Linked DNA regions of Caenorhabditis elegans. The protein of the gene in region 1 purifies or fractionates together with the protein of each later gene. This does not show direct contact. Each region holds a gene or a part of one and is shown in the gene's direction. Other genes may lie near its edges.

Region 1 (5,141 bases):
AAATTAGATCAAAAGATTTACAAAAACGGGGGAGGCACTTGTGTTTGCAGGATGCTGAAAAACTGAAATGTTTGTACAGATTGATGTTGGAATTAATTCGAAAGGACACAAAAAGGCAAGTGTAGTTAAAAAGTCTAGTCATTCGAGGAATAAATCTTTTTAACTTGGAAGCTTTCAAACGACAAGAATTATGATTCGAGTTATTACAAATGGTAAGTTATTTCCTATTTCTGAAGACTGAGCAGTGGTGGGGTGGTCCACAAAACTTCAAAAAACTCTCTTAATTGCGCATTTGTAATTGTTTAGCTATTAAATTATGAAAAACTATTTTTATAAATTTTATATTAAAATAATAATTTACCTATACTCTCATTGTTCGGATTTCTCATTTAAAATTTAAACAAGTAGGCAAGAGTAGTCAAGGATTTTAGAGTTTTTGCTTCTTTTTGGTCATCAAAGGGAAATGCAACTACTGGTGAAACTTTAACCGTACTAATATTCGAAACACTTGCATAAGTTCGGAGAACAGTTTTATATTTCCGAAATGTACCAGAAAGTCATAAAAACGGTTTTTAGACACGCTTTTTATATTCTACGAAAATTTGTTCAGAACCGTCCTATATGGCTTCACGGTGGATGCACAACTTCAAAATGTTCATAATCCTATTTTTGTGCTTCACTGTTCTTTTCATGTTGTTCTATCCAGATTATAAAGTGAGTTTTGGATATTTTTTCATTTGAGAAAAACACCCCAGGCAACGACAAGTTTTTAGTTTGTACCAGTGATCTTTTTGAAACTTCCTTGAAATTTTATCAAAAAGAGCTTCCTTTAATTTTCCGGATGCAAAAGTCATGTAGTTTTTATATTTGCCGAAGCTACCAAATTTTTTGTTTTCACGGCCATGTTGCAAAAGTGTTATTTGGCACTAGGGTGGGGTACGGTAAATACATCTGTGGTTAGTAGCTACTCAAAATTTGTTCTTCCTACCATTGAATCTTTACAAACTGATGTTCAGGTACACCAATTGAGTTCATATAGTCGTGAAACTTCGCTTCCAATCACCAAAAACAGGCGCTTCTTGGAAGCAGCCGACGAATGGAAACAGTGCTTTCAGGAGAAACTGAAAAGGAGCAGAACCGATCCAAAAGAGGTTTAAATTGAACGATGATCCTGATATGACGTCATAATTTCAGATGTGGTACTGGGTGAAACGTGTGATTAATCAATGTAGAAATGAAACTGCATTTTCGAAAATCGAATTGACTGGTGTAAAGAACAAAGATGAGATGAAATATCATGTGTACAGTCCATCTCAGGTTTCTCAATTCCACCACAAAAAAACCAATTTAATTCAAAATTTGCCAGGAACCAAGTGTAGTAGTAACTCTTGGCATTGGTTTGGATGTGAAAGCAGAAACAACACTCAAGGAAACACTTCCGACGAATTCCCGATTCTATGCCGCCGATCCAATATACACTGGAAACGGAGAACTTTACGAACCTGTTGGGTCGTATTTCCCATTTGCTGTGGGAAAAGAAACTGATGTCTCGACAGCGTTGGTGCTTAAGAACCGTTAGTTTTCTTCAAATATTTATAGATTCAGCAGCCTAATGTTTCTAGAGGCTCACGTTTTAAATGTAAATTTTGGGCAGGTTCAGGACTTGACTCAAAGGTGAAATGGATTTTTTATCAATATATTTCTACCAATTAAAATATAATCAGACCTTGACTATTTGTTTTTTCTCACTTTGAAGGTAAGCTCACTGAGAAATATGAACCATAGACGATAAGCAGGCATGTAGGTTTGCCCACCAAATGCAACATATTTCGAGCACATGTGACATGTTCGAAGAATCATTTTTTCTACCACTATGAAAGCTGACTAAATATTGACCAAAGCTACTAATTTTTTTTGTAAAAAATTTTTACAAAAAAAAATTAGTGATTGAATCTCAGGGAAATATATAAATCAAGTGATGCCCCACATTGACATCATCACTTTCTTCAAAAAATTCGTAAAGGAATCCACGATAGATCAATTTTTGATGGACAATGAGGGACCCGAATACGATATCCTTCCGATGATGGCTCGCGGAGCAGAATTCGATCAAAATGGGATAGTAGTGTGTCAAATGAACACAGAGGTTCATCAAGCTGACGATGAACGGAAAGCAAAATTTTTAAGCATAATGAATACGATCATTGAAGATGGGAGATATGCATTTATGGTTGCTTATGCTACAGTACATCATCGATTTTATGTGATTAATATGGAACATCCATTTTGTGTTGATAAGTATTTTTCTAGGTTTTTTGAATAGTTTATTTCATTTTTTTTCCAATTTTCTTTTTGATTTTTTCCACATCATCCTTTTCCCATTTATATTCAAATCAGACTCTTGTCAATACTGATCACAATAGAAAACACCACTATCTCTGTTTTTTGTAAAATAAATATAAAATTCTCCATGAGCCCACATCCTCGTAATATAAAACTACTGTTTGCTCTTATTCTTCTACTGCTAGTTTATATAGCACGTCAAAAACGGTTTGAACAACAATATTTTGACCGGTACCTAGAACATCCACGTGGAGGCGATTCGACAAAGAGTAAATTTCAAACTGAAGTTGACAAATGGGTTAAGTGTATGGAAAAAGATTTGTATGTTGATCGAGAGGTAAATTTAATAATTTATGAGACATAGAAGTTCAAAAGTAGGGAAACGTCATTGGGGTTTTATTTCAAACTTAATAATGAATAACGAAAACAATGCCCGACCCAATTTTTCAAATAAAATTATTTTTCCAGAGTTGGTACTATGTGAGATTTGCAACAGAGAGATGTAAAAATGCATCAATATTTTTGAATGTGCCAATTATGAAATTAGAGACAAATGTGGAATATCAAACTGGTATCCGAAGTTATGATATGTTCATTGCCACTAAGAAGGTCAGAATTTAGTTTTCGAAAAGAAAAAAAAGGATAATATATCTGAGTTAAGGAGCCGTTTGTATTCGTCACAATTGGAAATTATACGGATTCTAGAACTCGGAAAAATATGACAGATGAACTTCCAACGGACTTAAAAACCTACGGGACCCACCTGAACTCATCAAATATTTATTGGGATTATGGTTCCTTGGCAAACTACTTGAATCAATCCGAGTCGGCGGGTATTGGACACTTTTCAACGTATCTCAAAACTCAAGTGAATCATAAGGTTATCGATTTGGTAAGTACTGTAAAAAACTGTGAACGGATACATCTTCATGCCTGTCTTCCACTCATTTTAAACTATAATTTTCAGATCTCAATTAAAGAAGAAGTAAACAATTATAAAATATTCCATGAAATCTCGAGAATGGGCAAATTGGATGAAAACGGGCAAATTGTATGTCAAATTGAAATTCGCCTTGCTCCACCAACTTCTCAAACAATTAAGCATCTCATGGCAGGACTTTCACTAATTTTTAATGATTCTCGATATGTACTTCTTTCATTTCATAATCTTGAACTCTTTCTGGTCAATTATGAACATCAGGAGTGTAGGGGAAAATATTTGGCACCGTATATTTAAGTACTTTTTATATATTTTTTATTTCAACCCGGAAATGTTTTCAATTTAGAACAATAATACACACGTTATTTTCACGGATAAATCTTTTTATAAATAACTGCCGTGTGCTCCATGAGTCGTCTTGTAATTGTTGTGGTCATTAGAAGACGGGCTTCTAAACGATTTTCATCGAGAAGAGTCCATTCACGGAACATCTGAAAATATATTAAAATTACTGATCTACAACATCGTTTGATTTTGGACACGTGACCGAGTTTTCTCTTTTTCTTCTTTTTTTTCTCGACTCACAATTCGAACAGCAGAGTCGTGCGAAAAACTGATTCTCCCAATTCTTTGCAGCCTAAACTTCACTTGATTCGGTCCAGATTCTCCTTCCTCGATTGTCATGAATCCTGTAATTTAATACAACGTGGCATTGTTTCAAGATTATATCACACTTCCTACCATTACTCATTGCAGTATTCAGTGAGACATATTCCTTCTCTTGCTCTTTATCATATTCAACAGCAATATATCCGTTCTCAGAATGAATTTCAGTTGGATCACCGTCTGGCATATTGATATCCCAGGCGAACGCGCTGAAATTTGATACCTTGTTTTCCGCGAGAGCTCATGAATTCTAAGCATTTTCTGGCAGGATTGAGTTATAGGAATAAAAGTAGTCTTATACTGGACTTTGCAGTCTGTGAAACTCATTTTGCGCGTCAATTGAGATGCATTCCGTTCTAATCAAATTCATTATATTTTACGCACAATTTTAATCGATTTAAAAATGTCATAAAATACTCACGTATAATTCAGTAATGGCGTATGTGTATCTTGTGAATTATCGGCAATGGTGATATCCACTTGTTCTCCATACGTAAACTTTGGAATAGTTGGGAAAAATGCTTTTCCTCCAAATTCTGACCTCCATCTTCCAACCATCCAAGCGATTGATTTCAGTTTAGCAGGGAGGAGTTTTACGTCGTACTCTAAATATTTATCGTATTTTTCTAAATTCTTTGAGTTCCAAATGTAGAGTTTCGCAATGAATATTGGAACAGTGTTTGTATCAATCCATGTGACGTCACACATGCCAGTTGGATGTAGCTACGAGCTTTTTCAGGCAACGTCGCAAACGACTTACTGGGGTCTATTGGTTCTCCACAAGTTTGACAAGTTCTCGGACAATGTGAATTGACTAGCTCCACATTTTCGCAATCTGAAGTATTCGTGGCAACCTGAAAATTCTTTCCAATTTCTACATATCTGATCAATAATCACATACCCAAACAGCACAGTTCATATCAGTATCACGACATTTTGGAGCTATTTTGGCACTGTATGACGTGGATAATAGTATGATGGGAATGACGACAGAATAATAAACATTAGGGAAGAACCGGTTGATCATCTGGAGATGAACATCGTAATGTGTGAAATTTAGAAAAGATAGTGAGAGATTGAGAGAGAAAGGGCATCCTGGATACTTTGGAAGAATCGAAGAACAACTCGGTTTATGGAAACGTTTTATTTTCAGCCTTCTAGGTAGGCGCATGGGCCTACTTGCCTACTTCAT
Region 2 (5,141 bases), on another chromosome or scaffold:
GTAAGAAAATTGTTGACAAAATCTTTTTATGTGCTGGTTAAATAACCAAATATGTCAAACTTTGAAAAATTCTTCGAACTGTGGAAAAAGAGACAATTACTCAGTTATTCGTAAACTTTGTAATTGAGCAAAAAACAAACAAGACTGGCAAACCGGACTGAATCGAACGTCCGGCGTCAAGTTTTGACAAAAATAATCATTCAACTTTTAAATAAAAATTGAGTATGTAGGTTTTTCACGTCGCCCGAAAACTGTGTTTATGAGAAAAAATGTCCGCAATTTTTTCTACTCGACTGATGTGTTCAAACTTCCAACGTTTCACGTTCACGTTTCATTATTTTTTTAAAACCTAATGTTTTGTCAAAAACTTTGTTGGAAATATTTTTACGGATGGCAGAATGTCCTGCATCAAAATTAATATTGTTTTTTTTTTGTCGTCTATCAGTACTGTTAGAAATTATGGAAGTTTAAGTTATCAATTATTAATTTTCATCTGTCCGTAGTTTCAAAATTTTTTAAATAAAAGTTCAATAAAAAGTGCGTCAAAGAATCTTTTTTAAACATTTTGTCGAAAAACTTCGACTTCTAATACAAAACTGATGCCCTCGCGTTTAAGCAATTTTTAACATACAAACCACTCAGATTGAAAATTCCACTTTCGAGAAACCCTGAAAAACTAAAAAAAAAAACGTGGCCCACGATAATATTTGTTCAATTACAATTGAGTCTAACGTATTGAATTTGAATAGTTTATGTCTTTGAAAAATAAGTTTAGACAATGCCCTTATTGTATTCTAGTATTGTATTTTAGACTTGAAAAATCCGCAAGTAAACAGACCAAAGCTTAAAATAAGTGAGATTGGGCAGGCGCCACAAAAAAGTGGTTCCAAGTTAGGGCACAACGGGTGGTTAAAAAATTTGAATTTAACGTCTCTCAAAAAAATTATGGATTTTAGCCAATTACTTGTCGCCACCATTTTCTTGATATTTATGAAAAATGAAAATTTTGAACAAATACGAATAATTGTCCTTTACTGATCTCCAATACGTCGTTCAACAGGATAATCATCCGATTTCATATAAATAAATTAATTATTTTCTTCTTCCGTCTCCCGTTTTGACCTCAACAAAATCGCTTAGAATAGAGATGCACTATCCCAAAATCAATAATGATCTACCTGCTCTCTTCGATTGAATACCATGTAAATAGCAGACATACATTTTAAAAAGGATTAAAGGACGATCCGTTCTTCAAGTGCTATGCACTGCGGATCTGGGATTCAGGTACACTGCCTGGTGGTGATCCCTCTGGGCTGTAATTTAAGCCACGTCCTAGCCGGGGACTGTGGCCGATAATCCAGTCGTGGATTGCTCCACTTCCCAATAGAGGCTGGGTGAACCTAGGGGGTGAGGCCGGACTCGTGACCTCCAGACTGCTAGCGGCCACCACTACCGACTGAGCTATCTGCCCCCGAATAATTTTATTCTTTGAAAAAAAATAGCAGACATACATTTTCCCTAATTCAACCCCTTGCCCTCTTGCCATTCTCCAAACGTGACGAGACCATCTGCCGCGCTGAGACACCGCAGTGTTCCTCGTCGCACGTTTGTCTCGTTTCTTAGACTCTCCACTCTCTTGCGTGTACTCTCGCACATTGTCTCCTTATCCGGTCAGTTTTTTGAATGGTTCGAAGAGCCTCAAATCATTCCTTTATCTCACGTATTTACATGTAGATTTTCTTTATTTTCTCACCGCATTTATTCATAATTTTCAATACTTCTCAGAGCATTCTCGGCGCAACAAATCATTCTTTTTGCTCAGTCCCAAATACCTTTTCTTTTCTTTTTATCTCCTTGTTGCTGCGTCTCCGTATCTCTAACAACATTTTCGATTTCCCTAGCAATGTCGTTACTTTCTCGTAATTTCTCACTTTTCTCGTAATTTCTCACTTTCTTTCTCGCCGGACAAAAAATGTATACGAGTTCTCGCCCTTATTTTGAAAAACATCTAATAGAGACATACGAGAGTGATGAGTATCAGCGATATGTTAAATGGCATAGTCTGTCGCGGACCAGAACAAGCAGAAGTAATGAAAATATCATTTAAATTTAGAGGCATAAAATTCTGAATATTTTTTTAAACAGATAAAAAAATTCTCCAATTTTCAGAAAAATCTACATTTTGATGTTCTTATGAAAGACGATGCAAATTATTATTCAAGCTAATTCCTTCAAATCGTCCGTAAAAACTTACTGATTTTACCATTAGTTACCAAATGCACTGGTTTTTTTAACTCCTCAATTGAGTTGCCAAAATTATGAGCGATAGATGTTACTTTTTTTTTAGCTACTTGCTCCGATTGTTTTTCCTCTTTCTGTATCCTTAAATATACTTTGAAATACTTACCTGTTTCAGTTACAATGACGGATATGGAAAGTCAATTCGAAATTATCCGAACCGAAATCGTAAGTTCATTTTTTGCTTTTTTTCTACAATTACAATCCTATTTTCAGACTCTCGGAAATCTCACGGGATCCCTGCACACATTGCACCAAAACGTGAAGCTACAGATCTTCAGTGACGATCTCTGTCAGGCTTTTGACTCGTTCCTGATTTTCTTCCACAGAAGCGTATCGAGTTATATGGACAAATTAAAGTCACAAACTAACGACGATGACGACGACGTTGCTGATAGACTTTCGGCAGCGGAAGCTCACGTTTCGCTTCATTTGGGCAGATTTGTGGTAGGTCGTTTCACTTTTTAGTTTGTAGAAACTAAATATGGTTCTAAAACTAATTTAAAACGGAGTTAGTTTAGCCACTTTGTCGAGTCGAATGACCAAATATCATAATTTAACAAAACAATTCTGAAAGGCCCAGTTTTGCCACTGTTTTGGAATCGGACAAATTAATATATTTTTCGAATTAAGTTTCAAATATTAATATTTAAAAATGTAAAGATTCCAACATGACTTCTCTATAGTTTTCTCAACAAGTGGTAAAATCTCAGTTATTGCCAGTTTTTAAATCGAAACGCAAATTTTCAAACAATTTTCGGAAATTTTTACTATGATATTTGGCTTATGTTATCATAACTCCTCTGTTAAGAAGAACGAAAGAAATATATTTTGCAGGCCGAGATTCCAACATTCGCCGACGGATGCGATGTGTCTGGATTTTGGCACAGTCTACTGGTCAAATTGATTAATGAGATGTTTGGATTCTCTCACAAGACTTTTGGTATTTTAGAAAACCATTTTGCACAGCTATATCACAGTTTTTTTGCAGATCCAGCAGCAAAAGTCAAAAACAAGAATGCAATCAGTGCACTGTTTGAGGAATTTTTGGCAGCTGAAAAACCAGATAGATCCACTGCGTACGAATATATCTGCGTTATGTACATCAAATACCTTCAACAAATGAATCTGCATGCGGAGTTGGAGTTGTTCGCAGCAGAGGTTTGGAAGAGTTATATGGATGTACCAATATATAAAGTTTTCAGAAAATTGCTCACCCCCACGAGTACCAACAAGAAGGCAGTTCTTATTGGAAAGAAGAATGTCTTGCACTTCTGAAGGCTGCGGATAAGTGCACAAATAACCGTCTGAGAAACAACTTGCTCACAATCGGAAAACGTCTCTTCAACAACACTACTGCCAACATCTCCAAGCAAACTGAGGCGTTCTTTGCTATCCTCACTTACATCGATCTCTGTGACAATCCAGTCACCGCGGAAGTCTGGACCGGTTTGAGAAAAATTTGCAAAAGAGTCATTGAGCATGGAAATGAGGTGTTGTTCTTTGCAAACAACGAGAACTTTGACGAGAACTTGAAGAGTGCTCTGAAAGTTTTTGGTGAGGTTGAGGTAAGATTTTCATATTATGAAAGTTTTGTCTAAATACATTCATCATGATACAAAACGACCACAAAATTTTAGACTTTCTCAAATTTTCTATCAAAGCTTTTAAGGAAATCCAGAGCAAGGTCGCATTTTCCGACCTCTAGAATATTTTGACACTAAAGTGTGAAAATGGTAGAAAAACAGTTGTTTGGGTCGATAAATTTTCAAAATGTTTTACTATAATATCTGATCCTTTTGGCACCGTGGCACAGCTCAACCTTTGAATAAGTTTGGGGGCTCTGAAATATGTCAAAAAATGTACTGGAAAAATTCATATTGATTTTACAGAATCCTATTCGGCAAACAATTTCAATAATTTCAGTTGACACTCAATAGACGAATTGGAATGATCCAAAAATTGGAGAGAAGCGATCCACAAGATGGACATCAAATGGACTCTGCATTTTTCATTGATTATGGATATTATTATGTGATGAGAGCCTCCATTTTCCAGAGCGCTAAATTCATTGTTGGTGAGCAAGAAGGTAAGTCGAAATCAGGCGCTTGTGCACCGTACATCGTATTCAATTTCAGCCAAAGAGCAAACAGCGTTGGACATCAAGCAGGCGTCGGACTATTCTTATCACTATACAAATGTTCAAATCGCTATCAATGACGTTCTTGAATTGATTACTTCAAATTTTGAAAATTTGAGTGAAACAAGCTTGGTTGAAATGGGAATCTATCAGTATCTGGAGTCGGTAAGGAATACTTTAGGGCGGCGATAAGTCCTAAGCCAAAATTCATAAATTTTTCTTGTGTCGGTATTTTCTAAAAGTTTTGACCATCACTAGTATCCTAGCTCGCCATTTTTTGGAGGCTTCTATTTGATCTTGCTTGCTAACAAGTTTTTTCCTAAATTCTTTATTGACAGAAGCTTTTAATTCGGGGCGCTGAAAAGTTGTTAAAATTACCGTAAAATGGAATATGTACGAACTCAACTTTGTACTTAACTTTCAAAAAATTTATTCTATTTTCAGATTATTGACGCATGCTTTGACAATAGAAGAACAAAGGACCAGCAAACTATTTTCGACAAGGCTAACCAGCTTCTGAGCAAAACTAGTGAGATGTTGGGAAAGCACAGTAACTCATCCGAGCCTGTAACAAGTGCAATGGACGCTTCAGGACCCTCTCCTGACGAACATCTTGCAGACGATAACATGGATGACTAGTTGATAGAAAGCCAATGCATTCGTTCGACATCACCATTTGATTCACCAGTTTTCACATTTTTTT
Region 3 (5,141 bases), on another chromosome or scaffold:
CTGATTGGTCCAAAAGTGGGCGAATTGTAAAATAACTTAGAGTTTGTGGGTATTTTGGTTAAATAGACTAAAACTGGTCCAAAACCACCGAAATCCTTAATGAGACTTCACAAAAAATTTCCAAAAATTTTTTATGGCCGGTCAAAATTTCGAAAAAAAAGAGCCAAATTTTGCTAAAATCTGAAATTTCGCACATTTTTCTTTGTCACAGCCGCTGGATTTTAGTTTTTCTGAAATTATCATCCTTTAATCCTTCTTTTGGTAATTTATCTCGCGGAAATTCGTTGATTGAGACAACTTTTAGGCCGATAGGCATCCAATTTTTATCATTTTTGGATGCCTATAGGTCTAAAAATTGTCTCAATCAACCAATTTCCGCGAGATAATCTACCAAAATAAGGATTAAAGGATGATAATTTCAGAAAAAACTAAAGTCCAGCGGCTGTGACAAAGAAAAGCCAGCGAAATTTCAGATTTTAGCAAAATTTGACTCTTTTTTTTTTCGAAATTTTGACCCGCCATAAAAGTTGTTTGAAAATTTTTTGTGAAGTCTCATTATGAAATTCGGTAATTTTAGACCAGTTTTAGTCTATTTAAACAAAATACTCACAAACTCTACTCCCCCTTTAGAAGTTGGATTTTTCATTCTTTTCGTTTTTCTTTTAAAGTTTTGCTAAATTTGAGACTATTTCAGATTTTTTGAATCTTTTTAAAAATATTCCGGCTACTTCACCTTTGAATAACGAGATAACTAGAAGCCAAAATCACATTATTCTATTATTTCACTCAGAACGTTCACTTCTTTATGCGCACAGAAAATTCACGGCAAAGTATGTCGCCGTCGTCCGTCCGTCCGCTTCGTCACCATCCTTCTCTCTCCTCCGGCGGTCTCCATCATCCGGCTCGTCCCTTCTGTGTCTCTGTGGTCTCTTCACTCTCTCTGTCCCCAACGCCACGTTTCTTCTCTCGCGTCTCTCCACACTTCTCGCCTCTCCTGGTATTTTCAATCGAAACGCTCTTCTCCCGATACTAGCTTTCGCCCGTGCGTCGCTGTCGATTCATTACATTTATTCCAATGATTTGATGTTTTTTGAATCTACAAGAAATTAAATTTTCGAGCTTTTCCGAGTAATCTCTCGAGTTCCAATCAATTATCACCCCTGCTCTTCCTTCTTCCATTTTCCATGATAAAGCTTCACAGCAACGCCCTCTGATAAGCATCTATAAACTGTACAAACCTTTTTTTAAGTACCCAGTTCTCCAGTATTAATATAATTTTGGCTGTTTTTTTTTGTGGAAATGTTGGTGGCAGTTAAAGCTTTGGAGAGCAGCCCCAGAAAAAAGCTGACCAAACAATGGCTCTTTCCCTGCTCACATGGAAAAGCTTGCTCGCTTGTGATGTAATATTTCGTTTTTAGGCGATAACAACTGTTTTATAATTTCCCTTCCGAAATTGTTGTATTAGTTGGAGTTTGCCGACCAGTAATTCTGTAAAATACACCTTTCCTTAGATTTTTTCTTAAAATTTATTGTCTGAAAATTGTTTTTATTTGGCTTGAAACATTAGGAAAAACGTTCGAAAAATGCCTGAAAGTTGGAGACTGCTAGAAACAAATTTCGGCAATTTTCAACTTTCAGACAATTTTTGAAAGTTTTTCCAAATTTTTCGCGTAAAATGAACGCATTTCATCGGATATTTTCCTTTAAGTTTTGTGATACAATGTAGAAAAACATTTTATTTATCTGGAAATAGCCTTTCATAAAAAAATTTCACAATTTCCCAAAAAATTTTCCAAATTTTCCAAATGTTTCGAGCAAAATAAAAGGCTATTTCCAGACAAATAAAATGTTTTTCTACATTTTATCACTAAATTTAAAGGGAAATATCCGATAAAATGCGTTCATTTTACTTGAAACCTTTGGAAAAACTTTCTGAAAGTTGAAAATTGCCTATTTTTCCGGCATTTTTCAACGTTCATGCAATTTTTGAGCTTTTTTTCAATTGTTCCAACTGATATGAAAACTATTTCCAGATGAAGCAAATTTTTATATTTCGATATTAGACTCATACAATTAAAAAAAAAATTTATTTTCTGTAAAACCTCCATAATTTTGAATATTAGTGCTGAAAATTTACTAAATCGGCAATAAATCGGTTAAAAAATATTTCTGAAACACTGAAATTTTTATTTAAATAACGATTAAAGCTCTTCGCGGCTGCCTTTCCGGAGACTAAAAAAATTGAATTTCGATTAAATCCAGTTTAAACTTCTAAAAATCGAATATCAAGCTAGATACTCATAATTTATTCCCAAAAAACACCCATTTACACCTCTTCCTCTTCCACTCCATCCGGTTTTGCGCATCATCTTCATTTGTCTCAAAAGTTTATCACTGCCAACGATCTTTTCATCTGCTGGAGGCTCCACTTTCAGACTGGTTCTTCTAGATTTAATCTACAACACAGCTTATGCTTCTCTCACTAGCCGATTTTGAATGTTTTTGGCAATTGCTAATAGGGAGAAGCAAAATGCATGGAATCTTGATTTGGAAACGAATTTTGAAATTCAACATTTAATTTACCCGAAATTTGCAACTTTTTAACGTGAAACCGAATTTTTTGAGCGAAATTTTTGTCAAATTGAAGAAATTATTGCCATTTCAGAAGTTGAGGAACGACTCGCCCAGTTAGTTGCCGACGTGTTTTTTGGATAGAATTTAATACTGTAATAATCGGATATGTCGGACGGTCAGCTGGTCCAGAGACGCAGAAAGGCTGAAGAGGTAGGATGATTTTACAGAGTTCAATGGAAAAACACGAGAGATAAAAAAAACTGAAAAAGATGAAATTTTCAACTTAAATTACCTCTGTGTAATGTTTAAATTAAACGATTAATCCGTGAATTTTGCAGAAACAGCGTCGCACGGAAAAATAAGCGGAGCTTAATTTCGCAACCCTGCGGCGCGGTTTTTTCAATTTTTCAAACAAAAAAATTCGATTGAAAATATTATCGAATTTAGTTCTCATAAGACTATGAGGATATTTTTGGTTGTAAAAACATTTTTCTTCAGGAAAAGTAAGATAAAACGAACAAAATTAAAAAAAAAACCGTGCCGCAGTGTTGCGAAATTACGCTCCGCCTCTTTTTCTGTGCGACGATGTTTTTGCAAAAAAGAGTTTTCAAGAAAAAACTAATTAAAAATCAATAAAATTTCCAGCCAGTCACTGAAAAGTTGAAATTTTCAACTCAAATTTCCTCTGTGTACTGTTAAAATTAAACGATTAATCGGAAAAAGAGGTGGAGCTTAATTTCGCAACCCTGCGGCGCGGTTTTCCTGTTTTCGTATATTTTTCACGCTTTTTTTTTCAATTTTTTCAAACAAATAAATTCGAATGAAAATATTATAGAATTTTTTCCGAATAAATAGAATAAGCAAAATCGAAAAAAACCGTTCCGCAGCAGGGGTGTGCGGCAAATCTCAAAATTTGCCGAGCTCGGCAAATTCGGCAAATTTGCCGTGCTTAACAAACTCGGAAAAATTATATATTTTTTGATATTTTTTGGAGCACCAAAACTACTGAATTCTTAACACACCTCTGGTTTCTGAACAAGTTAGGTGTAGTGTGTCTGCTTAAACATCAAAATAACTCAATTTGTTATCATTTTACTAAATTTTTGGCGAAAAAATCAACAGTTTTAGTCAAAATTGTACTGTCAAATTTTTGACGTGTGCGGCAAATTTCGAAATTTGCCGAGCTCGGCAAATTCGGCAAATCTACTTTTTTGAAATTTGCCGTGCTCGGCAAATTCGGCAAATTTGCCGCACACCCCTGTTCCGCAGTGTTGCTAAATTACGCCCCGCCTCTTATTCTGTGCGGCGATGTTTTTTTCTGCAAAATTCACAGAATGATATTTCAGTTAACTAATTCAAAATCAATCCAATTTTCAGCCAGTCACCGAAAAAGTCGACGAAGCGAGCGGCGATTCAGCACAATCTTCGGATCAAGAAGACAATGACAAGGGAACCCGATTGACTTTGATGGAGCAAATCCTGTTGCTCGGCCTTAAAGACCGTGAAGGTTACACATCGTTTTGGAATGATTGCATTTCGTCGGGGCTCCGAGGATGTGTGCTCATCGAGCTTGTGCTCCGTGGACGAATTCAACTCGAGGGAGGCGGAATGAGACGCAAGAATTTGCTTAATAGAAAGGTAGTTTCAGATATAAATATTGATTACGGGAGCACAGGCTTCTGAGAATGCGTATTGTGCAACATATTTGACGCGCAAAATATCTCGTAGCGAAAACTACAGTAATTCTTTAATTCTGTTACTGTAGCGCTTGTGTCGATTTACGGGATCTCGATTTTCGAAATTTGTTATAGCTTTTTTCGAATATTGACAACAATATTCTATTTTCCTTTTTATTTTAAAGTCGAGCCCGTAAATCGACACAAGAGCTACAGTAGTCATTTAAAGAATTACTGTAGTTTTCGCTACGAGATATTTTGCGCGTCAAATATGTTGTGCAATACGCATTCTCAGAATTTTGTGGTCGCGTAATATCAATAAGAACCATCTTATCCGCCGAAAAGAAATTTTTCGAATTCAATTGAAAAAGAAAGTTTTATAGTATTATATTTCGTCCCGTGCATCGCACAAACAAACAATATTACAGGTGACTGTGAAAAGCAGCGAGCCAACTGGTGACGTCATTCTCGACGAGGCACTTCGCCATATGAAGGAGACAAACCCGCCGGAGACAGTGACCAGCTGGATTGAATATTTGTCTGGAGAAACGTGGAATCCGCTGAAACTTCGCTACCAACTGAGAAATGTTCGTGAACGACTCGCCAAGAATCTTGTTGAAAAGGGTGTTCTGACGACTGATAAGCAAAATTTCTTGCTTTTTGAAATTACGACGCATCCACTTTCGGACGGAAATCAGAAGACGAAATTGATTAAAGAAGTGCAAGAAGCGGTTCTGGGGAAATGGACGAATGATGTTCATCGTATGGATAAGAAAATGCTCTCGTTGATTGTATTGGCTCATGCTAGTGATGTTCTTGAAAATGCGTTTGCACCGCTTTCTGATCAAGATTATGAGGTAAAACAAATGCTGGAAATCCTGTTTTTTTCTG

The links.
Region 2: the proteins of C28H8.7 (region 1) and F47G3.3 fractionate together in Caenorhabditis elegans (co-fractionation; one large-scale study listed by BioGRID). This does not show direct contact.
Region 3: the proteins of C28H8.7 (region 1) and Y47G6A.18 fractionate together in Caenorhabditis elegans (co-fractionation; one large-scale study listed by BioGRID). This does not show direct contact.

Annotation. Positions count from the first base shown.
Region 1 is NC_003281.10:5,884,286-5,889,426, reverse strand, and holds C28H8.7 (uncharacterized protein), read left to right. Parts: upstream 1-2,433; 5' UTR 2,434-2,470; coding exon 2,471-2,680; intron 2,681-2,811; coding exon 2,812-2,952; intron 2,953-3,004; coding exon 3,005-3,235; intron 3,236-3,310; coding exon 3,311-3,580; 3' UTR 3,581-3,651; downstream 3,652-5,141. Other genes in the region: C28H8.8 (uncharacterized protein), read left to right, coding at 652-714, 1,017-1,151, 1,195-1,317, 1,367-1,574, 1,959-2,323; C28H8.5 (ShKT domain-containing protein), read right to left, coding at 3,652-3,774, 3,869-3,972, 4,025-4,158, 4,371-4,554, 4,710-4,803, 4,851-5,120.
Region 2 is NC_003284.9:2,373,576-2,378,716, forward strand, and holds the start of F47G3.3 (KIF-binding protein), read left to right. Parts: upstream 1-2,409; 5' UTR 2,410-2,421; coding exon 2,422-2,466; intron 2,467-2,514; coding exon 2,515-2,745; intron 2,746-3,135; coding exon 3,136-3,241; intron 3,242-3,289; coding exon 3,290-3,459; intron 3,460-3,503; coding exon 3,504-3,866; intron 3,867-4,224; coding exon 4,225-4,387; intron 4,388-4,436; coding exon 4,437-4,603; intron 4,604-4,882; coding exon 4,883-5,077; 3' UTR 5,078-5,141.
Region 3 is NC_003279.8:3,510,258-3,515,398, reverse strand, and holds the start of Y47G6A.18 (Golgi phosphoprotein 3 homolog sauron), read left to right. Parts: upstream 1-2,665; 5' UTR 2,666-2,739; coding exon 2,740-2,784; intron 2,785-3,951; coding exon 3,952-4,212; intron 4,213-4,678; coding exon 4,679-5,107; intron 5,108-5,141.